Arabidopsis thaliana: one gene and its partners. The protein of the gene in region 3 purifies or fractionates together with the protein of the main gene of each other region. This does not show direct contact. Each region holds a gene or a part of one and is shown on either strand. Other genes may lie near its edges. The genes, in order: AT2G31610, AT2G42270, SUS2 and MAC3A.

The links.
Region 1: the proteins of SUS2 (region 3) and AT2G31610 fractionate together in Arabidopsis thaliana (co-fractionation; one large-scale study listed by BioGRID). This does not show direct contact.
Region 2: the proteins of SUS2 (region 3) and AT2G42270 fractionate together in Arabidopsis thaliana (co-fractionation; one large-scale study listed by BioGRID). This does not show direct contact.
Region 4: the proteins of SUS2 (region 3) and MAC3A purify together in Arabidopsis thaliana (affinity purification with mass spectrometry; 2 studies listed by BioGRID, with this or other methods). This does not show direct contact.

What each region holds. Positions count from the first base shown.
Region 1 is NC_003071.7:13,448,606-13,452,496, forward strand, and holds AT2G31610 (Ribosomal protein S3 family protein), read left to right. Parts: upstream 1-1,635; 5' UTR 1,636-1,778; coding exon 1,779-1,808; intron 1,809-1,891; coding exon 1,892-2,039; intron 2,040-2,119; coding exon 2,120-2,291; intron 2,292-2,572; coding exon 2,573-2,759; intron 2,760-2,848; coding exon 2,849-3,064; 3' UTR 3,065-3,377; downstream 3,378-3,891. Other genes in the region: AT2G31600 (INO80 complex subunit D-like protein), read right to left, coding at 1-200, 838-1,478; AT2G31620 (Receptor-like protein kinase-related family protein), read right to left, coding at 3,386-3,832.
Region 2 is NC_003071.7:17,602,421-17,610,369, reverse strand, and holds the start of AT2G42270 (U5 small nuclear ribonucleoprotein helicase), read right to left. Parts: upstream 6,041-7,949; coding exon 1-6,040. Other genes in the region: UVI4 (uv-b-insensitive 4), read left to right, coding at 7,087-7,476, 7,741-7,949. UniProt on the Arabidopsis thaliana protein: RNA helicase that plays an essential role in pre-mRNA splicing as component of the U5 snRNP and U4/U6-U5 tri-snRNP complexes. Involved in spliceosome assembly, activation and disassembly.
Region 3 is NC_003070.9:30,115,856-30,120,864, forward strand, and holds the start of SUS2 (Pre-mRNA-processing-splicing factor), read left to right. Parts: upstream 1-1,991; 5' UTR 1,992-2,196; coding exon 2,197-2,480; intron 2,481-2,615; coding exon 2,616-2,739; intron 2,740-2,812; coding exon 2,813-2,905; intron 2,906-2,996; coding exon 2,997-3,387; intron 3,388-3,472; coding exon 3,473-3,953; intron 3,954-4,049; coding exon 4,050-4,840; intron 4,841-4,922; coding exon 4,923-5,009. Other genes in the region: AT1G80060 (Ubiquitin-like superfamily protein), read right to left, coding at 447-699, 774-856, 950-1,049, 1,128-1,227, 1,474-1,669. UniProt on the Arabidopsis thaliana protein: Functions as a scaffold that mediates the ordered assembly of spliceosomal proteins and snRNAs. Required for the assembly of the U4/U6-U5 tri-snRNP complex. Required for embryo development.
Region 4 is NC_003070.9:1,224,922-1,231,483, forward strand, and holds MAC3A (MOS4-associated complex 3A), read left to right. Parts: upstream 1-1,561; 5' UTR 1,562-1,827; coding exon 1,828-1,840; intron 1,841-1,930; coding exon 1,931-2,016; intron 2,017-2,165; coding exon 2,166-2,237; intron 2,238-2,325; coding exon 2,326-2,388; intron 2,389-2,658; coding exon 2,659-2,745; intron 2,746-2,894; coding exon 2,895-3,036; intron 3,037-3,124; coding exon 3,125-3,246; intron 3,247-3,409; coding exon 3,410-3,526; intron 3,527-3,784; coding exon 3,785-3,880; intron 3,881-3,975; coding exon 3,976-4,035; intron 4,036-4,132; coding exon 4,133-4,207; intron 4,208-4,311; coding exon 4,312-4,416; intron 4,417-4,582; coding exon 4,583-4,702; intron 4,703-4,795; coding exon 4,796-4,873; intron 4,874-4,971; coding exon 4,972-5,056; intron 5,057-5,143; coding exon 5,144-5,195; intron 5,196-5,381; coding exon 5,382-5,452; coding exon of another isoform or gene 5,453-5,458; intron 5,459-5,543; coding exon 5,544-5,671; 3' UTR 5,672-6,026; downstream 6,027-6,562.

The DNA of each region.
Region 1 (3,891 bases), on a different chromosome or scaffold from region 3:
TCGCTTGAATATGATGCACAAACGCAGCTACTATAACATGGAGCTTTGGGGGAGGCTTGCTTGTTGAAGAGACATTATGACCAGCATCCTTTAAAGCTTTAGCCACATGCTTTTGGGCTTTCTGGAAGTGTATATTACACAGTGCAGGAACAGTCGACGCAAGTGTTGGTTTTCCACAAAGTAATGGTCCTGCTGGGGCTCTGAATGTACAATGGAAACAATGCAGAGTTAGGTGAGAATTGCTTAAATTATCATTATATGCTAATTACAAACCAGCATACAAACTTACCTATATATGAAATCTAGGTTGTAAAAACTCAAATCTGAAACTTGGTTTATGTTTTAATACTACCACAATGGGACTATTCTAACACAAATACATTTTCAAAGGGTGATATAGTTATGCTAATACTCATATCCTGACTATTTTACAAATACACATCAAAACAGACAACTTCAAGCATCTGCGTCAGTTATGTGTATCAACCAGAACAACAAAGCACATAGAGCAATATTTTAACACAAGGCAACTACTGAATCTATAAATGATTACCGACGATCACTATCTCGATGTCCAAAGCTAAGACTTCTCCCAAACCCTATGAAAAACTTTGAAAAAAAGTCAAGTGTCAATCCCAAATCCTTTCTGCAAACTTGAAAAAAAAAGAGAAACAATCTCTTGGCTCACTACATAACACAAAACAGCTTTGCAGTTTCAATTCATCATCACTACAACATCTTCACCAACTATAATATGCAAAGAACACAACTTGAAGCATCAATTACTTTGGTTTATACGAGAATTTTAAAACCAAATAAAGGGAAAGTGAAACAAACCGTTTAATGACGTTTGTGCAACCAGTGTAGAGCTTCTGCTTACTATCCTTGAGAATATGCAATTGACAGTATTTCGTAAGCGCCATAGCTTTAGCTTTGCATCCATACATACAACTCCCACAATTACTATTCGCATACTGATCACTCTTAACACCATCATTGTTAGTAACATTGTCTCCACTACCTTCAACAGCATCACCACCATCTCCGATATCTCCCTCTTGACCAAGCCTCCGTCTCTTATTCGATTGATTATTTTCGTCTTTAAACTGACTAATCCCATACTTCCACCAATAATCCCTGTGTTGTGCCTTGACATCCTCCATTAAAGCCCAATAATTGTCTCTATAACACTTGGCCAGCTGCTTCAGGTTGTGTGATCGGCGTTTGAGAAGCTCCGACCGGGTTATGTGACTGGAGCGTGCGAGGATTTCATCTTCTTGTGACATCGTAATCGGTGAATTCGATGTCGACGGTAAGCCGCTGGTGCTAGGGTTAGGATTTAAGGTAGAGTTTCGAATTAGGGGCTCGGCTGAGGTGGAAGCCACTGCGGTTGTTGATGCAGCGCCGGAGGAATACGGAGGCCGTGGTGGTTTCGAGGAGAAAGGGTTTTGCTGAATGTTCTTGGAAGCTGACGCCATTGCCGTCGTCGGAAAATGACAGAGCTTCAAAATCAGATGTTCTTGTCGGGAATGAAATTATTAATTTTTAAAAAATAATATTAGTACTTAAATTTTAAAATATATTAAAGCCCATAAAATGTCCATTGGGCTGACATATTCAACAAATAGGCCCAAACTCAATTGGATGTGAGACCTAAGTTTCTGAATTAGGTCAATATAAATACTAAAATCATATCTGATAACGAACACGAGCTTACCGATTCTCTTCGTCTCAACATTTAGGGTTTCAGAGATCGGCTGATTTTCACATCCACAAGTATGGCGACTCAAATCAGCAAGAAGAGAAAGGTGAATTGTGATTTCATTTTTTGTTTTCAGTGGACTTCTCTAGCTGTATCGTATTGGAACTGATCTGGTTACTGTGTTTGTAGTTTGTAGCGGATGGTGTATTCTACGCTGAATTGAATGAGGTTCTCACAAGAGAGCTAGCAGAGGATGGTTACTCTGGTGTTGAGGTTAGGGTTACTCCAATGAGGACTGAGATTATCATCAGAGCTACTCGTACTCAGAATGTTCTTGGTATGTTTGTTTGATCATTTCTTCTCTCTTTCGATTTTGAATGTGTTTCGAGATCTGATATCGAAAATGTTGGGTTTTAGGTGAGAAGGGGAGGAGAATTAGGGAATTGACATCTCTTGTCCAGAAGAGATTCAAGTTTCCAGTTGACAGTGTTGAGCTCTATGCTGAGAAGGTTAACAACAGAGGTCTCTGTGCCATTGCTCAGGCTGAGTCTCTACGTTACAAGCTTCTCGGTGGTCTTGCTGTTCGCAGGTACGACATTTCTCTAGTATGTTTTTGTGTATTCTCTCTCAATTGCTGTTGTTATTGTTTAGCTTACTTGGTCCTAATAGTGAAATGTATAGGATACAACTGTAATTATATTTCTCAGTGGGGTTTCTGTAAATGCGCACTCTTTATAGATTTTGTGTAATAGTTATGTTTCTATCTACTGAACACACTGATGATACATAATGTGTCGACAAGGCTATTGCATCTCTTTTTTCACTTGAACTTCTCATCCTTAATATTGCAATGGTATATTTGATATACAGGGCCTGTTATGGTGTTTTGAGATTTGTTATGGAGAGTGGAGCTAAGGGATGTGAGGTCATCGTGAGTGGAAAGCTCCGTGCTGCACGTGCTAAGTCCATGAAGTTCAAGGATGGTTACATGGTTTCATCTGGTCAACCAACTAAGGAATACATCGATGCTGCAGTGAGACATGTTTTGCTCAGACAGGTATGCTTTCTAATGAGTCTCTTATCTACCATTTAGTGAGTAAGTATACCGGCTTTGTCTAATCTTGTTGGTTCAATCCGTATTTGCAGGGGGTGTTGGGAATCAAGGTGAAGATCATGCTTGACTGGGACCCTACGGGCAAATCAGGACCAAAGACACCATTGCCTGATGTTGTGATCATTCATGCTCCTAAAGATGATGTTGTCTACTCTGCACCTGCTCAGGCTGCTGCTCCAGTTACTCTTGTGCAAGAAGCTCCACTCACAACCGTAGATTACCCTGAGATGATTCCTCCAGTGGCCTAGAGAAGACCTTTTTTACTATTACTCCATGGGATTTTGTTCTTTTTGTTATAACTTTTCTACTTTTGACACTCTCTAGTCGTATCTCTTATATCCTCCAAGCAGACAAGTTTTTTCTCATGTTGTTTCTTAACCTATGTCAAGTTTTCTGGAGGTTGAATGCTTTTAGTTCCATGATTTTTTTGTTCTTAAGACTCGTAATAAGAAAAAGAATGACGACAACAATGCCTGGTATTTGATGTTGTTACTTTGAATTATCATTTTGCTCAGAACACTTTATTCGAAAATAACAAAAACTAAAATGTTTGGAGCTCTCATTATCTTTTACGGTTTTACAAAAGGATAGAGCTCGTACCTAAAAGTACAACTCGGATTCAAAACTCTTCCTCCTTGTTTACCGTTGCAGCATCTGGGAAGCTTTGCAATAATCGAATCCAAACACACACTGCAATTTTTAACTGATAAGTCTTGTGTACACTGCATCATCCCATACAATTTCGTCGTCCCGAGACTTTCCTCCCCCGCTGCATACATGTAGTCTCTTGTGTAAGGCTCTTGTTCTTTACGAATTGCTTTCTCCTTGAGCTTATCTAGGAGAGCCTTTGTGTTCTTGTTGAACAACTTTTTATTGCCGCTCACATCTTTGGCATTGTGCAAATACAAATAGTGCTTGAAATCAATCTTCTCGTAGGTATATATCTCGGAAATGTAGAGAAAACAGTTGTCGTACCATATTATTCTCCCTCTGTTGTTCGGACATCTCCTAAGAATCTGTCACATATTTACAATATATATAAATATGTTGGGACATATTTCCTAAGAAATGCTAA
Region 2 (7,949 bases), on a different chromosome or scaffold from region 3:
ATATGGTTTCAATGTTATTCCCCGGATTCTCATGGCACCTTTTGGCTAAGTCCTTTGTGAAGTGAGGAAGCTGCAGAAGCATGGAGTCTCGATCCCACATGCCTTGAGTCACCATCTGGCTTACTTCCATAGCTAAAAGAGCAAGATTCAGACAGCCATTGCTCGATATCACATCGACCATTGCTTGAAGAAGCCTTGTTGCTGATAAAAGGACCTCACACTGATCCATTACAAGGTTCCCGCTGATTTTTTGCCTTGAGAAATGCGCCTGAAGAAGTGCGCTTGTCTTCACACGAGGGTCTGTGCATCTTGGGTTTTGAAAAGAGAACCTCTGGTGATTGATGAGTCTCCGAACTGCGTCCTCTTCACCAGGACGTATAGGAATCAAGTCATACTCCGAAGCTGAAGTCAAGATCTCAAGAAGACCCTTCATCTTGGTCTTGGAAGCCAAGAGAGAACTGAATCGCTCAATGGTGGTGTAATTTATGTAGTAATATGACGCAATCATACCAAGATTGAGAGGAGAGAGATCCAACTCATTGTCTATTTCAATGCATTTACTCACTTCAAGATCAGACAAAGTGTTTTCAACGAGCTCTGAGAGGTGATCAGATAAATGTCTGTGGCTCACTCCCAGGAGATTGTAGTAGTTAGGGTTCTGGGGAAGCCTCCTGTACATGAAGCTCCAGGTAAGATAATCCACAGCATCTTGTTTGTTCTCTATAACTCTAGCAACTACTTCTGCATTGAAATTATCATGCAAGAAATGTTGAAGATGACTCTCAACCGGAAGAGCTTCATACAAAAATTTCTTGTAATACTCTTTACGTGGTGCATGACAGAAGATCACACACTTCCCAGCGTCGTCAAGCAGAGGTCGGCTACCACGCCCCATCATTTGGAGCAGATTAGAGATGGGGTAATCCGAATGAGAATTTTCCCGTCCATCGTAGAAATGTGTTCCCATTACAACAACCAAATGTGCCTTCAATGGAGTACCCCAACACAATGAACTAGACATTACACATACCTGAATCCGTCCAGCTTCAAAAAGCTGAGTCACAATCTCCTGATCCAGATTGCTTAAACCCTCGTGCAGGTAGCCAATGCCATGGCGTAAAGTCTCCTTCAGAGTTTCCTCACAAATTTGTATTAAAAAAGGCTCTAATTCTTCCAGATTCCCTAAAAGGAAATCAGGGCTCTTCATGTTGTCCATGTGCGAGTATGCTATCAGATCCACAGCAGTAAGGCGGACATGTTTACGGGTCGGGACAAAAACGATAGCTGGTTTCTTGTTCTTGGCATGCTGTACTATGGCAGTGTATGTTGGCTTAGTCATCGCCTGCATCCTGGCTTCAAAACTCAATATGTCCACCCCATGAATGTGGATCTCCAGTGGGACAGGACGAACATTAGGCGGGAAGTTAAAAACGCCACATGAACTGGCCCCAATCCACTCTCCAAGATCTTTGGCATTTGCAAGGGAAGTTGATAATGCAACAATCCTGATTTTATTCCCAACCTGACTTGAAATATATCTCATTCTAGAGACAATTACCTCCAACACTTGACCACCTTGACCCCCAATTAAATGAAGCTCGTCAACGATAAACAAACTAACCTGCTGGATATATTTTCTCTGTTTCCACCTCCGGGACAGAGCGTCCCATTTCTCAGGAGTACTTATGATTATCTGACCTTTCTCAAGCAACTTAAGATCCAATAATGTCTCCCCAGTTAACTCAACAACCCGTAAACCAAGCCCCTTTCCGAACTTTTTCTCCCAATCACGAAACTGCTCCTTGGCAATAGCCTCAAGAGGTGCTATATAGACAACACGCATTGCAGAATCAGGTCCTTCGAGATGATTCCTTAATATAGCAAACTCCGCACATATAGTCTTCCCACTTCCTGTTGGAGCAGCAACCACTACATTGTCACTTGTGTTATACAAAACAGTAAAGACCTGAGTCTGCACTGGATTGAAATGCTTGAAATCCTGATAAAGAGTTTCATAAGAAGGATTTCTTAGGGCCATCACCGGGAGGGGCTGCAAATCCAGTAGCTCTGTAGGTGGTGGGTATTTTTCTGGAAGAATAAGATGCCTGAAAGATACAGGTAACACAGTCGGCGAGTCAAGCCATTTGTCTGAAACCACTCGGATGAAATACTGTGGGGGAATTGGCTCAGAGATTGGTACAGTGAAGTTCAAAGTGTGGTCCTCATCAATAACCCGTTTTTTAAAAAGAAAGTACTCATGATGAAGGATCTTTTCACCATCATTGTCTTCCACAATTATCCAAAACGGTTCAACATATTTATTTGCTTTGTCATCCCAGTGGAAATCAGGTGTCACCGTGAGCTCAACCTGCAGAACAGAACGAGAAATCGGCTGAACATGTGCTGCAAGTTTCAGTTTTGGGAACTGATGGATATACTTGTGAAGTGGTCTGCCCATCTTAGGATTACAAATAAGCTCTCCTAGCTCCTGTGAAGATAGATCATAGTACCTCTCCCACACCAGATCGTTTTTCTCCAACTTCATCAGAATCTCCTTGGGAATTCCAGGAAACTGCCAGAGGGGTGTCTGAACACTCCACATCCTCTTCCCTACCATTTTAGACAAGTTGAGAGCTTTCTGAGACAGTTGAGCCCACCCCCTCTTCAACACAATCTCAAAAATAGCTCGTAACAAACGTCCAGCACTTTGGGTAATATAAACCATGTCAGATGTCAAAGAAAGACCCTCGAGCTTTAGCTTTGAAATATATACTTGCAGCAAAACGTTGATCTTTGCACTGGGATCTTCTAGTGTTTCCTTTACCGGAATTGGTACACGATCCAAAAGCTTTGCCAGTTCCATCTTCTCATCTTGTCGAACAGTGACATACTTGAACTCCTCACTCAGAGAGAACAGACGACAAAGCTCTATATCATTCATTGTTGGCTTCAGATTCTCATTGTATGCAGCTATTGTTCCATGGCTTATGTAGTAGTAGCTAGCAATGCGTCCCAAATCAGTAACCTGGAAGTGTCCACTTTTCCTGTCGTACTTAATCAGGTTGTTCTTGTCCAAGATAGTGGCAGCAGAATGTATCAGATCAGCTCTTCTCTCCTCCAATAGCAAGTCTTTTGCAAGGGCATCAGGCGATACGCCATACAGTGTCGGATTACGAACCATGCGGACATATAAATATGTATAGCCAAGCCAGTGGCAAGCTTCTCTAGCATTCTGAATGGTTCCAAGCACAATTTCAGCATTGAGCTGATCAGCAAGTTTGGAAATAAACTGGCTTTCAATAGGTAGTTGCTCATTCATCAAACGAAGATAATACTGTAGCTTGCTGTATCCAGTGATTATTATTCCCTCCCCTTGTTGGTCATATTGAGGTCTTCCGGCACGACCAATCATCTGCATAACATCTAAAGGACTCAGCTCCATCCACTCCCCTCTCTCAGGATTATATACTTGGGTTCCTTTGATAATGACAGTATGTGCAGGCAAATTCACACCCCAGGCAAGAGTTGCCGTGGAAATCAACACTTGCAAATTCCCCCAGCGAAATTGATTCTCAACTATCTCACGATCAGTCCTTGTCAACCCAGCATGATGAATTGCAAAACCATAAGGCAGAAGCTCTTTCAGGTCATTATTCTTGAGAAGTCCAGCTAAACACTTAAGAATTTCACGACTTTGACTATCTTCCTTCAAGAATCTGCTGAGGGTATCATTTGCCATAGCTGTGTCCCGTATTGCCCTTGCAGTTTTTGCTGTTTCCTTCCTCGAATGAACAAAAATAAGGACCTGGTGTTTTCCAGCAACAGCCACTACTTTCTGATAACATATATCATTCATCAACTGGAACCTCCGTAACGGCTTTTTCACATTAATTCCTATATACTGCTGACCGAGAGGCACAGGTCTGTAGCTACGGTCAAATATAAACAACCCATTTTTAAGATCCACTCGCAAAAATGAAGCCACATCGTCACAATTTGGCAGTGTTGCAGATAAACCTACCAGACGAATATGCTCCTTTGTGCTTTCAATCTGCCTAAGAGTCCTAGCGACAATACTTTCAAGCACAGGCCCTCGATTATCATCAAGAAGATGAATTTCGTCGATTATAAGAAGCCTCACAAGCTGTGTATAAGTGCGATCTCCAGATTTCCTGGTGATGATATCCCACTTCTCTGGCGTTGTAACAATTATCTGAGTCTCTTTGATTTCTTGCCCAGTAAGGGACTGATCCCCACTGAGTTCCTTCACAGTAACTCCAAAATCCTTCAAACGTTGAGATAGACTATCCACGACCTCAGCAACAAGGGCTTTCATTGGTGCAACATAGACAATTTTGTAATTACCATGATTAAACGTTCCACCAGGGTTCATATTCAATCCAAGCTGGTGCAGTATGGTGAGCACGGCAACATTGGTCTTCCCAGCACCAGTTGGAGCACAAAGAAGAATGTTGTCAGCCTTAAAAAGAGCAGTGCCGTACACTTTGCTCTGAACCCTATTCAACTGCTGCATTCCCCTAAAAGCTGGTTGGGCCCACTCTGGCAAATCGCTAATTTTCACAAGCTTTTCATTACTATCAAACTTTTTAGAAACCCACGGCACATGAACCTCATCAAATTCCTTGCCACGTATTCTGAAAGAGCGATCAGGAAGCTCACACTTGTTATTCTCCCTCGTGAAACCACCTTGGTTAAAAGCAAGGCTCTCCAGGTCCATCACCTGACGCTGGCCCTTCAACCAACCATTCTCCAAATCTAAATCATCAACATCTCTCATGCCTCTGTCTCCGTCAACACCAGAATCATCATCCATAAGATGTTGAGCTTCTTCTTTGATATCTTTCTCCCGTTTCTCCTCCCTTTCTTTGGCTGTTGCTCTTTTGGCATGCAACTCCTTAACAATTGCTGCCAACTCTGAACCTAACCCCAACATCTCCTCCTCAATTTGATTCCTCTCTTCCTGGTCTCTTCCCCTAGCCAAACGGGTGCACCACACAACTTTAAGACGGTTTTGCAACAGAAATTTAACAAGGCTGAACTTTTCAAACTGAAGGTGCTCAAGCAGCTTGATCTCAACATCCCTATCATTACCCTCAGCAAGTATCTTAAGCAGCTCTTCTGCGAGTTCCTGGCACTCTTGTGCATCAATCTTCTGCTCATATTCTTGAGATATCTTTCTCTGAAGCCAATAAGCATCAATATCCAGAACATTAAGACTCGTATCCTCCTTTGCCTGTCTTGCATCCTCGCCGTTTATTGCCACACCCACCTGGACAACTCCAGTTTTGTTAAGCTCAACAACATCTTCATCCTCCTCATCTTTTTCATCCTGGACCATATCAAGATCACTCTCATCATCATCCTCTTCACATTCAAGGGCAACACCAATATCATAATCAAGTCCTCCATCCTCACTAGCTTTACCACTTAAAGAATCACCACCCTCTTCATAGTCTGTAATCAGTTTTCCAATCGAAACAAACTGACTGAAAACCTGATCAGTAATAACGTTTAGTAGTTTCTCAATCTCTACCTTCTTTTCATGGTTTTTGACGGATTCATTCTTAAGAACTGCCAAAATCTCATCAGCCGCACCGCAAACAATGTCCAAAGGCTGCCCACCCAATTGCTGCTGGATAAGACCAAGCATAATCTCAAAAGCAACCCTTGTTTCCTTAGTCTTCGGCTGATAAACACCATCCTCCGTATCATTAAGTACACTCACCTCCCTAAGACGAACTCTTTTGCTCTCACGAGCAGACACCAAATCATCACAACGTTCCTTCTTCTTCTTAGATTTATTAAGCCGCTCATCTAACTCATGAGGCCTTCCCCTAACGACACGATCTCCAAAGGATTTCGGATCAATCCTACCCCTGAGACTCTCCGGTTCACCAGAAGATTCATGCGTATCACGACGACGCTCATCACTGTTAAGAACAAGACTGGAATTGACTTTGTACCCATACTGCTTCAACCTGGCTTGCTCCTCCGCACCACCACCACCCAAATTCGTCATCACCAAATCGGAAAAACAAACCCCAAATTCCAAGAATTAAATCAATGAAACAAAACAAAATTCGGAACGAAAAACTCTTCTATTACCTCTCTCCCGTTCTCCGTAATCGTCGTCTTAAGAATTTGATCGAGTCGATGAGTTTTTTTTTTTTTTCGTTCAACAGTCTTATATATACACCCTAAACAAGTCTTAAACCGACAATACATTGTCGGCCACAAATTCCAAACCCACGAAGGCCTGTCCGGAAGCCGACTAAAATTATGGAATTGTCCGGTTCAATCCGTTTTAACTATAATTAGAAGAAAACATTAATTAGAGTTGGTTCTTGATGAGTGTTTTCGTATAATCAGAGCAAGTTATCGTATCATTAGACCGTACCAACTAGCCAATCCGGTTTTCTGGTATTAGTAAAAAGCAGCGGTTGGATCCTATGACAATTAACGGTGAGGATTCGATCTTGAAAGCAATGCGTACGTAAATAGAATTGGGCCACAAGCCCAGTTTTATTCAGAAGGGCAAAATTGAAATCTGACAAAGAATTTGACGAATTGTGACAATGTGCGCTTTGAAAAAAAACGAAATTTATCCCGCGTGAGATGAAAAATTCAAAATATTTCACACAGGTGAAACCACTTTGACACGTGCGAGCTCGAAATTTTTCATTTTCAATTACAAAACCCGCCTAGAAAATGGTCTAAATTTTGTTTGCCAGATCGTCTCTCTCTCAAAAGCTTTTCTCTCTTTTTCTCCTTTGTCCCCTCCACTTTACCGTTCACGAAGCCATTCCGAGCTATCACGAAGGAATCTATTGAAGATTCATAGGTAAATCCATGGTTTGATTTGTTCAAGTAGGTTCTTTGTGATGTGACGGAGATTTGTTGCGAAAACGAAGAGTTGATCTCTTTTTCTTGTTGTTTATGAGGTTTCGAGAAAATCTGATTAACAATGGAGAACAAGACTGAGTTCTTGGGTTTTAATGTTGCGATTTCGATTTTGGGTGTGTTCTAATGGCATAGTTGTTTGATTTCTTCAGCGCTCAATCACAAATGCCAGAAGCACGAGATCGAATAGAGAGGCAAGTTGATTACCCAGCCGCATTTCTCAATAGACGCTCGCATGGTATTTTACTTGACGAACCAGCAACACAGCACAATTTGTTTGGGTCTCCGGTTCAGAGAGTGCCATCGGAAGCTACAGGAGGACTTGGGTCAATTGGTCAAGGATCTATGACGGGAAGAGGTGGGCTTGTGAGGGGTAATTTCGGTATTCGGCGGACTGGTGGTGGTAGAAGAGGTCAAATTCAATTTAGATCGCCACAGGGACGAGAGAACATGAGCTTGGGTGTTACAAGGCGTGGAAGGGCTCGTGCTTCAAATTCTGTCTTACCTTCTTGGTATCCAAGAACGCCCCTCCGTGATATTTCTGCCGTTGTTAGGGTTAGTTCACTAAACCTAGTCTCATTTTGGATTTGTCTGCTTATTCTTAGATTTAACTGGAGTTTTTTTCATTGATATATAGCTAATTTGTGATCTGTTTATATCTGGTTTGTGATTTGCATATTGGTTCAGAATCTGCTGCTTATAAGCTAGATTAGTCTTCTGTAACAGGCTTGCTTAGCCTCTTTGTTAACTATATCATAAGTCATAACCTGTTACCAAAAGGCTTGCTTAGTCTGGCTATTTACAAACTCTTATATGCAGGCTATTGAGAGAAGGAGAGCTCGTATGGGAGAAGGTGTTGGCCGAGATATTGAGACCCCAACTCCACAACAACTTGGGGTTCTTGATTCTCTAGTACCGTTGTCAGGTGCTCATCTCGAGCACGACTATTCTATGGTTACTCCCGGTCCATCTATTGGATTCAAGCGTCCTTGGCCACCCTCAACTGCTAAAGTCCATCAGATTTTGCT
Region 3 (5,009 bases):
TTTTTACTTTTTAATAAAACAGAGGCAAGAAGATGAGCATATGCTAGTGGTGGGGCGTGTCATTCTTAGATTCTCGGGTGGAACATAGGTTTGACCAGCAAAATGGTGAGGCCAATTATTGGGCTCAGTAGGTTGGTATGGGTTTAACCATTTTCAGCCTATATAAGGTTTACCTTGCCATATTACTTCAAAATTATTCAAAATCAACACAAATACTCAATCCATTCTTGTTTTATCACAAATCAGATGATCTTACTACTGTGTTCTAGGCTGAATTTATGCGAATAAAAATGTACCTTCCTTCAGCTTTCACAATGCATGAAGATAGATATGAAATTTGTAAAACTATGGATCTTTTGATACAATCCTGGACAACAAATTCATAAACCAATAATCATTGGAAGAGATTAAAAAGGGGACATAGGAAGAGGTTGTGACTTACGGATTTACATCTTGGGTCTGCCACCGAAATGCTTCAAAGAAAATCTGGAGGGACCACTGCGACACTCGGGTCCTTTTCTGGAAACTCCCCAACGTCCAGCATATGGCAACCATCCTTTAATTAAGTTAACTAGTCTGGATTCTGCTGCCGGTAACTCGTCTTGTGCTCCTGGATAACACTTCTCAGCTACATCATCCACACCGTTCTGGTTTTGGTTTTGTATTTGGATTTCGTTGACAATGGATGACACATCCAACCTACCATACAAGGATTCTTTAGCAGAGCATTGAAATGCAGAGACGATATAGGAAGATTGTTACAAAGTACTTACTCGAGGTACCGCTTGCAACTCGGGCTCTTGGATCTTTTGTTCATAGGAGAGTGGTCTATCGACAAATGCCTTACGAAATGTAACTGAAATAGAGTGAAAGGGATGTTAAGACTTTCAAAGGAATGAGATTGCGTGCATACGATTCTTATATAGAAGTGAGAAGGAGTTTAACGAACTTGGTCTCCATCATTGAGACCGAGATAACGGATGCTAGTCTTGTCATTGACTAATCTCTGGTCTCGATAACACAAGCAAAAATGACCCCAGACGTGAGACCTGTAGGCAAAGATCAAAGTGAACGACTGTACCAGAAAGCTTAAGCTGTGAGAATTTTCATATGAAATGATGATATACCATGAAATCATGCCGTGACCTTCCAGAGGAGAAATGGTGAATACTTGTTCCACAGCTCTTTTGAGCTCTGCCACTGAGCAATCCTTTGCAACTTCCACATCTATTGATTCGTTGGAAACCATTTAACTTCTTGAGAGGCCAAATCAGAAACAGTAACCAAAAAACTAGTTGATACTTCATCCAAAATTATGTCTATTAAGGCTCTTAAACAATGATTTCTAACAGCAACAAAAAATTCCGGATTAGAGATCGATTAGGGTATCACCAACTGAGGGAACCGTTGAGCTTGATTGTAAACTAAACTCTTAAAATTGCTATTTCGGAAACTGGATAAGCAAAATCGTACCGAAAAGGGAGCCGTTGAGCTTAACGACGGAAAGCTTGATACGACCCTGAGGAGGAAGTTTCAGGTAGGAAGATCTCCGTCCAGAAATCGAACCACCGTCGTTTAAAGCAAACGATGACAAGAAGCGTGGATCTATCAACGACCTCAGTCCTCCACTTCGACGACCGTCCCTAACCGGACTATGCTCTTCTCGCATTGCCGATTCTCCCGGATTTTCACCGACAAGATTCTGCTCTCTTTGCTCTTCTTCTTCAGCCTTCAGGTGACTGTTGAGGAGCTGAGCGAGCGAGCGAGAGAATCGGGAGAGTTTGTTTTCCGGGGAAAAACCGCAATTACTGCTATATAGCTCCCCAATAAATGCCAAAACAAAAAATCAAATTAAAGTTTGTCAATGGGCATCACGGCCCAAATCTAATAATCAAAGGCCCAATAACTTGATTCGACAATACTTAGCGGGTTTGGATAACCGCCTAAGCATCTGTTCGACACCGCCTATTTTTTTTTTTTACTTACTCCTCCTGATCTGCTGATATAAGGCCGAACGGGAATAAAAAAAAAAAAAAAGGAAGAAGCGACTCACCCGAAAATGTTTTAGGGTTTTTCTTTACTCGATTAAGCTCACTAGTTCTTCGCAACGTAGTTAGAGATCGACACTGGCGCGGTGGATTTAGGGTTTTTTTCCTCCGCGACTACGCTCGGCGTTTCGATTTGGAACCCTAAGCTATGTGGAACAACAACGATGGTATGCCCTTAGCTCCTCCTGGTACTGGCGGGTCCATGATGCCGCCACCTCCCGCTGCTCATCCTTCTTACACGGCGCTTCCGCCGCCTTCTAATCCGACTCCTCCGGTCGAGCCTACTCCTGAGGAAGCGGAGGCTAAGCTTGAGGAGAAGGCCCGAAAATGGATGCAGCTAAATTCCAAACGGTACGGCGACAAGAGGAAGTTTGGATTCGTTGAAACTCAGAAGGAGGACATGCCACCTGAGCACGTCAGGAAGATCATCAGGCTAGTTTTCTTCTCTTCTTTCTCTACCATTTCGAAATACAGTTTACTTGATAATTATTTTCTGGCTAGGTTTCTAAGATTTGGTTAGGATTTACTTATTTTGAGACTGAAGCTGCGATTTCTTTCTTACTTCAGAGATCATGGTGATATGTCATCCAAGAAATTCCGTCACGACAAACGTGTATACCTTGGAGCCCTTAAATTCGTCCCTCACGCAGTTTTCAAGCTCTTGGAGAACATGCCTATGCCCTGGGAGCAGGTACATTTTTTTTCCTTTAGCTTCAGCTGTTTTCATCGTCTGTTCATTTATCTAAATCCTCATTTTCTTTCAGGTCCGAGATGTAAAAGTTTTGTACCACATCACCGGAGCTATTACATTTGTGAACGAGATACCATGGGTTGTGGAACCTATTTACATGGCTCAGGTTGGTGATTAGTCTTATCTCTTATTTACTGTCTCTGTGCGCTGATGGATTTTCAATAGCTTTTGATGGTTATTCCATTCTTGTTTTGCAGTGGGGTACTATGTGGATTATGATGCGAAGGGAGAAGAGGGATCGTCGTCATTTCAAGAGAATGCGGTTCCCACCTTTTGATGATGAGGAGCCTCCACTAGACTATGCAGACAACTTGCTGGACGTGGATCCTCTGGAGCCAATTCAATTGGAGCTAGATGAGGAAGAAGATTCTGCTGTCCACACTTGGTTTTACGACCACAAGCCACTCGTTAAAACAAAACTGATTAATGGTCCCAGTTACCGGAGGTGGAACCTCTCACTTCCAATCATGGCAACCCTTCACAGGCTTGCAGGCCAGTTGCTGTCTGATTTGATTGATCGCAACTACTTCTACTTATTTGACATGCCATCTTTCTTCACAGCAAAAGCTCTGAACATGTGCATACCTGGTACGCCATTTTCCTTCTATGCTCCAGTTTTTATATTTTTGCTGCGGGTCCATTGCTTTTAATGCATTCTCCTACTCTTTTCCAGGTGGACCCAAGTTTGAACCTTTGTACCGTGATATGGAGAAAGGGGATGAGGACTGGAATGAGTTTAATGACATCAACAAGCTCATTATTCGTTCCCCTCTGCGTACTGAGTACAGAATAGCTTTTCCCCATCTCTACAATAATCGGCCCAGGAAAGTAAAACTCTGTGTGTATCACAGTCCTATGATCATGTATATAAAGACCGAGGATCCCGATCTTCCTGCATTTTATTATGATCCGTTGATTCACCCAATAAGCAACACCAACAAGGAAAAACGTGAAAGGAAGGTTTATGATGATGAGGATGACTTCGCCTTACCAGAAGGTGTGGAACCTTTGCTAAGAGATACCCAACTCTACACTGACACTACAGCTGCTGGCATATCATTGTTGTTTGCCCCACGACCTTTCAATATGAGGTCTGGGAGGACGCGCCGCGCAGAAGATATTCCCTTGGTGTCAGAGTGGTTCAAAGAGCACTGGTAAGCTATTTGTTTTTATTCTACTTTGGTCCTCTTTACCGTTTTGAAATTTACTGGTGACCGTCCTAATACATATTGTGAACTCATTAACTGCAGTCCTCCAGCCTATCCGGTTAAAGTTCGGGTTAGTTACCAAAAGCTATTGAAGTGCTATGTGCTGAATGAGTTGCACCATAGACCGCCTAAAGCTCAGAAGAAGAAGCACTTGTTTCGATCTCTTGCAGCTACAAAGTTTTTCCAAAGTACCGAACTGGATTGGGTTGAAGTGGGTCTGCAAGTCTGTCGGCAGGGATATAATATGCTGAATCTGCTGATTCATAGGAAGAATTTAAACTACCTGCATCTTGACTACAACTTCAACCTCAAGCCTGTGAAAACTTTGACCACCAAAGAGCGAAAGAAGTCACGTTTTGGGAACGCTTTCCATCTGTGCCGTGAGATCCTCCGCCTGACAAAACTTGTAGTTGATGCAAATGTCCAATTCCGACTTGGTAATGTCGATGCCTTCCAATTGGCTGATGGTCTGCAGTATATTTTCTCTCATGTTGGCCAGTTGACGGGTATGTATCGTTATAAATACAGACTGATGAGGCAGATTCGGATGTGCAAGGATTTAAAGCACTTGATATATTACCGTTTCAATACTGGTCCGGTGGGTAAGGGTCCAGGGTGTGGATTTTGGGCTCCAATGTGGAGGGTATGGTTGTTTTTCCTTCGGGGTATAGTTCCTCTTCTTGAAAGATGGTTAGGGAATCTTCTTGCTCGTCAATTTGAGGGGCGTCATTCAAAAGGAGTGGCCAAAACAGTCACAAAGCAGAGAGTTGAAAGCCATTTTGATCTGGAGCTTCGGGCTGCTGTCATGCATGACGTCCTTGATGCTATGCCAGGTTTCCATTTTTACAAACTTGTTTATCAACGATGAAATTGCTTTGCTTTATTCTTTGGTTAACATTTTCTGATAATGTGCAGAGGGTATCAAGCAAAATAAAGCGCGGACTATATTGCAGCACCTTAGTGAGGCATGGCGGTGCTGGAAAGCTAATATCCCATGGAAGG
Region 4 (6,562 bases), about 29 Mb from region 3:
AGAAAAAGAGACCAGGTCAGTGAAAATTTTGAAAATAAGAGATAAAGATCGTACTAAGTCAAATGTATTTATTTTATGGAAATTTCGAGGGGAAAAAAAATGTTACGTGATGCTTAGTTAAATTCGGAAACTACAAATTTCATATCAAGATGGTTTCTCTCGATAAAAATTCGTTACAGTGATAGTTTTAGCATACCATGCTTCGAGTTGTCGTTTTCTATATATGTTGTTTTCCTTACAACCATAACCAAATAATGAACTGATCATACAAATGAAAAGATACTTTTATAGATCGGAATATATATCGACTTAGATAACGTAAATAAAGGTACACCAATGTGATTTATAGATTATATAGTCATCAACACCATATATGAAACTTTAACAAAAAAACACCATATATGAAACTACAATTTTTTACGAACATGGTCTTACCTTTATTTTATCTTTTTTTTTCGTATAAAGAATTCCCAAACTATGAAAAAATGTCAGCTAGGTGAATAATCTAACTTTCATGGACTATTACTCAGCTAAGTTCAAAATATCCCTTCACTTCAAAACTTCTAAAAACAACTTTCATTGACTATACGCATTAATTAATTACTATTGTAATTACGACGATTTTTTTTTCGTTCTCCTCTAGCTTTTTTTAGTTTATTTGTTTTGGTCATGGTTGGGAACGGGACATCATCACATCACTTATCAACATTCTATTTGGTCCCCAACTCTATGAAGCATTATTTGAAATCATTAGCATGACTATCTAAGTTTTTTTTCTCCTGATATTTATCCAAAATTTTATTTCATTCAAATTGTTTAACAATATGTACATATACTATATGTATTATATAAAATACATATCACCACTCAGGCAATTTTTTAAACTTATATACAGTATGTGATAAAATAAACATGGTCATACGTTTAAGAATTGGAAATTAATGAGGTTGCAAGAAATCATTTAACGAGAACAGAATGAAGAGAAAGAAAAAAATAGCAACTTGGTGGCAAAAGGAAAAAGAAACAGCTTGAGATCAAAGCTGATTTGATGAATCGATACTTTGGAGATATATATGAGCATCTTCGGCAAAAGCTTTGGCCTTTGAGTGCAGTGTTACACACACGCATTTTCCAAACGAGATGATTTAAGTTTTGCAGAGCTATCACAAATATATTATAATACCAAACTCTCAGACAATATTATATAAATCGGAAGTCTAATTTTTTTTAATAAAAAATGAAAATATAGTATGACCAATGATTTGTTCATATAAGGTTCTTTTTTCGGCTATGTTAATTGTTGAGAAATGAGAATACTAAATATGCTTTTTATGAGAATACTACTTTTCGGCTATGACTAATTTTTGTTCATAAAGAACACATCTATCGTACGTGCAAATAGAATGGCCCGTACATCGTTGTCCTACCTTATACTTTAAAAGAATTTGTAATCAGAAAAAATAAAAGAAAAGAATGACAAAAAAAAGGGTAAGAATTATACTTTCGAGTTTCTTTTCTCAGACAGAAAGAATGAACGAACATACATAGTTTAACTAATGGGCTTCAGAAAAAAGCCTAATTAGTTATAAATCAAGGTCTCGTTAAAAGGCCCATTTGTTTAACAAGAAATCTCTAACTTGTTGTCCTAAGCTTAAACAATTTTTGCATCTCTCTCTCTTTCCGTCTTCATCGTCCTCCCGGCTTCTGCGATTTTGTTTAGTAGCGCCGGACCGGAGTAGTTAAAACCCTAGCCCAGTCTATTTAAAGATTCACCGAGTAGTCTTCTAGTCCTGCGTATACTTCTTCTTCTTCGTTTATACTTAGAAGATGAATTGTGCAAGTAAGGCACTCTTTCTTCTCTATTTACCGATTTAGGGTTTTATTTTGCTTTGTTTCTGTCGGTAACACTGTGGTCTTTTCTCCTCTACAGTTTCCGGCGAAGTTCCGGAGGAGCCTGTGGTTTCTAAGAAGTCGGGTTTGCTTTACGAGAAGCGGCTAATCCAGACGCATATATCCGTAAGCAAGTTCTTTTCTTTTCTCCCTCGTTCGACTCTTATCTAGGGTTTTCAGCTGTTTAGCCTCTTGCACCTCTCTATTTGCTGCAGATATTTTCTTAATACAGACTTTGTTGTGATAATTTATAGATTGCTTTTGGTACCTTGTAGGATTATGGGAAATGCCCGGTTACTGGTGAGCCACATACTCTTGATGACATTGTTCCCATCAAAACTGGGAAGGTAATGCAACCACTGGAGTTATTTGTCACACAGCATTGTTTGTAGAAACTTATTTAAGCCTGATTCGATCTCCGGGACCATTTTGCAGATCGTAAAGCCGAAACCATTACACACAGCTAGCATCCCTGGATTGCTTGGAACGTTTCAGACTGTAAGTTCTTATTTTGTATTCCCTATACCTTCTTTTTCGTTTCTGAATTTTGTTCTCTGTCTATTAAGGATCATATAGAGTTAAAATGGATGAACTTGATTTGGGTATGCATCGCTATCTGAGTTATTTAACATAGCAGATTGCATTCTACTCTTTACATTGAATTATATGTTCATTTGTTACTAATAGCAAGACGAAAGTGTTCGCTGGTTATTTTTACTTTAGGCAAAAGAAATGCTTAAAAAGTTTATCTGTTTGTTGTGCTTGTAGGAATGGGACAGTTTGATGCTATCAAATTTTGCTTTGGAACAACAACTGCATACTGCGAGGCAAGAGCTAAGTCACGCTTTGTATCAGGTAATTATGGTTAGGTGCATTTGCCACCACCTTATCAGACTACATGAATTACAAATATCTATTATGTATTCTAGTTTCTTTTCCTGGATGTTTCCATTTATTTCTTGTGATAAAAGGTGATTGATGGGGGATACACTTTTCCTTTGCAGCATGATGCTGCTTGTCGTGTGATTGCTAGGCTTAAAAAAGAAAGAGACGAATCACGACAATTGCTTGCAGAGGCTGAAAGGCAGTTGCCTGCAGCCCCCGAAGTTGCCACATCGAATGCTGCTCTTAGTAATGGTAAACGAGGTATGCTTGCACGTTTGCTTCTCAATGTAAGTTGGCTATGTGGTAATTTCTCTTATAACAAGCTACTATGTTTTTGGTTGCAATATAGGTATCGATGATGGTGAGCAGGGGCCTAATGCAAAGAAAATGCGTCTTGGAATTTCGGCTGAAGTTATCACAGAACTCACAGATTGTAATGCTGCTCTTTCTCAGCAGCGTAAAAAGAGACAGGTAACTGCATATATCAGTATATTAGTGGAAATAGAAGGCAAAAGAGAATTACATATATATATAGTTTGTCTGTAACATACAATGGATATCTGCACTTTTGGAGTTCAATTAGATTTGCGAGTGGTTCTTCTGTCTTAATAATTTCTCCTCATTGGTTCTCTAGATCCCTAAAACATTGGCTTCAGTCGATGCTCTGGAGAAGTTCACCCAACTCTCAAGCCACCCCCTTCACAAGACCAACAAACCTGGAATTTTTTCAATGGACATCCTACATTCTAAGGTTTGACACCTAAGAACTTCTCTATTTTCCATTCATCACTTTATGTAGTTTTTCTCTGTCCTGAGAAGTCACTGCATTGAACGTCATAGTGACATGTTTACTTTTGCGCTTACATTATATTGTACACTGCCATGAATCCCCATCTGGATGCTTATCAATATTATTCTTCAGTATATAGATTTTGTACACTACCATGAATCCCTGTGTCTGTTCTCTATTTAGTATTATTCTTAATTTCTCGTTATATGTGGTAATCAGGATGTCATCGCTACGGGAGGAATTGATACAACTGCCGTTCTCTTTGATCGTCCTTCAGGACAAATCTTATCAACGCTGACTGGTCACTCAAAGAAGGTCTGTCTTTTACTGTATTCTTTTTTTATATTTCATTTTCTTTTTTAACTTTTCCTTTGTAGTTTTGTGCTTGACATGCATTGTTCCTTTTGCAGGTTACAAGCATCAAGTTCGTTGGTGACACTGATCTTGTGTTAACTGCTTCATCCGACAAGGTAAGCTAAGGTTATGTGTACAAGCTCCTTTGAGGATTGCATGATTTTATGGAGTAGTAGTGAAGAGATTAACTTCTCATTTCTTAACACTCTGCAGACAGTCCGCATCTGGGGATGTTCCGAGGATGGGAACTATACCTCTAGACATACACTGAAAGATCATTCTGCCGAGGTAAGGATGTAACTGAAGAACTTCTACAGGCTACAGTCTCATACAGTTTTACGTTTTATTTATTTTTGGTCTGTTTAACGTAAAAGCAATGATGTGGTTTTCAGGTGCGAGCTGTAACTGTCCACGCAACGAATAAATACTTTGTGTCAGCATCACTTGACAGTACATGGTGCTTCTATGATCTGTCCTCCGGTTTATGCCTTGCTCAGGTCTCCAAAATTTTAATCCACACCTGATACCTGTTATCCAGTTTCAGATTTCTTCTTTTATGCTAATATAACAATGAAACATTTACCTTCTTTATTGTAATGTGAATTAGACTCGTTAGAATAAATGTTTCTGCCATGCGTCTTTCTCATTATTGTTGTTATTCAGGTGACAGATGCTTCCGAAAACGACGTGAATTACACGGCTGCTGCTTTTCATCCTGATGGTCTCATTCTTGGAACTGGTACCGCTCAATCTATTGTTAAGATTTGGGATGTAAAAAGTCAGGTAAAAACTCTTTGACCTTCCTTGCTCATCAACTGTTGTCACTTGTAAGTTTGTTCTCACTTCACTCTCATCTCTATCTCTGTCGTTTGATAGGCAAATGTGGCAAAGTTTGGTGGACACAATGGAGAAATCACCTCTATATCATTCTCTGAAAACGGTTATTTCCTTGCGGTGGGTACATTGACTGATTGACCTAAACTAAGTAGAAAGAAGGATAGCACCAGGTTCCTTTTGACTGACCAATATTTACTATTCTTTAAATTGTACAGACTGCTGCACTGGATGGTGTTAGGTTGTGGGACTTGCGCAAGTTAAAGAACTTCCGAACCTTTGACTTTCCAGATGCAAACTCGGGTATTCAACTACCTGAGCACTCTTACTAGTCTATTTTGTTGAGTGAGTTTTCATTTCTTAAGGCCTGAATGAGCTTTTTTTGTGCAGTGGAGTTTGACCATAGCGGATCTTATCTTGGCATTGCTGCTTCAGATATAAGGTGAGGTCTACTTTGATACACAATGTTGGGAATTAATTGATATAGGAGCTCACTTTGATAACGAGATATTGAAAGATAGTTGTGCAAACTCAATTAACCTGCTATCACCAGAAATGCAGTTTGGGTATATGTATACGTTTCTTCTGCAAATCATACTAATCGAAAACTTGTGCTTCAATGTTGTAGAGTATTCCAAGCAGCTAGTGTAAAAGCAGAATGGAACCCAATCAAGACTCTTCCCGATCTGTCCGGTACAGGTAAATGCTACATGTTAAGCTTTTGAAGTCACTGCTCTTCCTTGTTTTATTGAGTCTATCATTCAGACATTGTAACTACATAAATGTGCAGGTAAAGCAACAAGTGTTAAGTTTGGACTCGACTCCAAATACATAGCAGTCGGTTCAATGGACCGTAATCTCAGGATATTTGGTTTACCTGATGATGACAATACTGAAGATTCAGCACAAGATTCATGAAGAGATATCTCAAAAGTCTCATCATCAAGAGTAGCTATATCCTCAATTCTCGCGATTTTTGTTGTATCTTTACAGTTCTGTTGGTACTTTCCTGATGGCCCCTCTCACAATCACATATACACACCTGAGCTCTCTCCCTTTCTTTCTCAGTCAACAATTTTCCTGTAACAACATCGTACCTTAAGGATCTGCAGTTGATCTTTCTCTCTTTGATCTGAAAGAGTCCACATAAAACAAAGTTAGCTGCTCACTATAAAAGCAAATGAAGAACAGGCATGTAAATGATCTTCTTCATCATTCAAATCAGTAGGACCTAAACGGCAACAATTAAAAAACTTGTGTTATATAGAAAGGGTCATGAATCTTGAAGACAATGAAATGAAGACAAAAAGATTGTGATGGTGGTCATAGAAATTAGAAAACCCTGAGACAGACAGAGATTTTGACTGTACTGTGGTCAAAACACACACTTCACAATCTTCCCATTCCCCCACCAATCTCAGATTCCTTTTCACTTCCTCCAACTCTTTCTCTCTCTCTGGCCTTTTTTTTTTTTTTTTTTCCTATTTATAGCTCATCTTTAGTAATTCCGTTATTGGTTAAATTTCCTAAACATGTTTTTGGTATCAACAATCAAGTAAGTGCAAGAAAGTTTGTATCTTTCTCTAAACCCAATTTCCAAAGTAACCAACTACTAAACCAGAATGTTACACAAAGTAAGTCACTAAATGACTTTAAAAACAAGATTAGACTTTAAACTAGATTAGAGACATACTTATTTGGAATAAGATTCAAAGGTCACTAGTAGCTAGTAGGTGGTAAAAAGGAAGCTAAACAACAAATAAACTCTTATTAAAATCTTTCAATCAATAAATATTTATTGTAATTTGC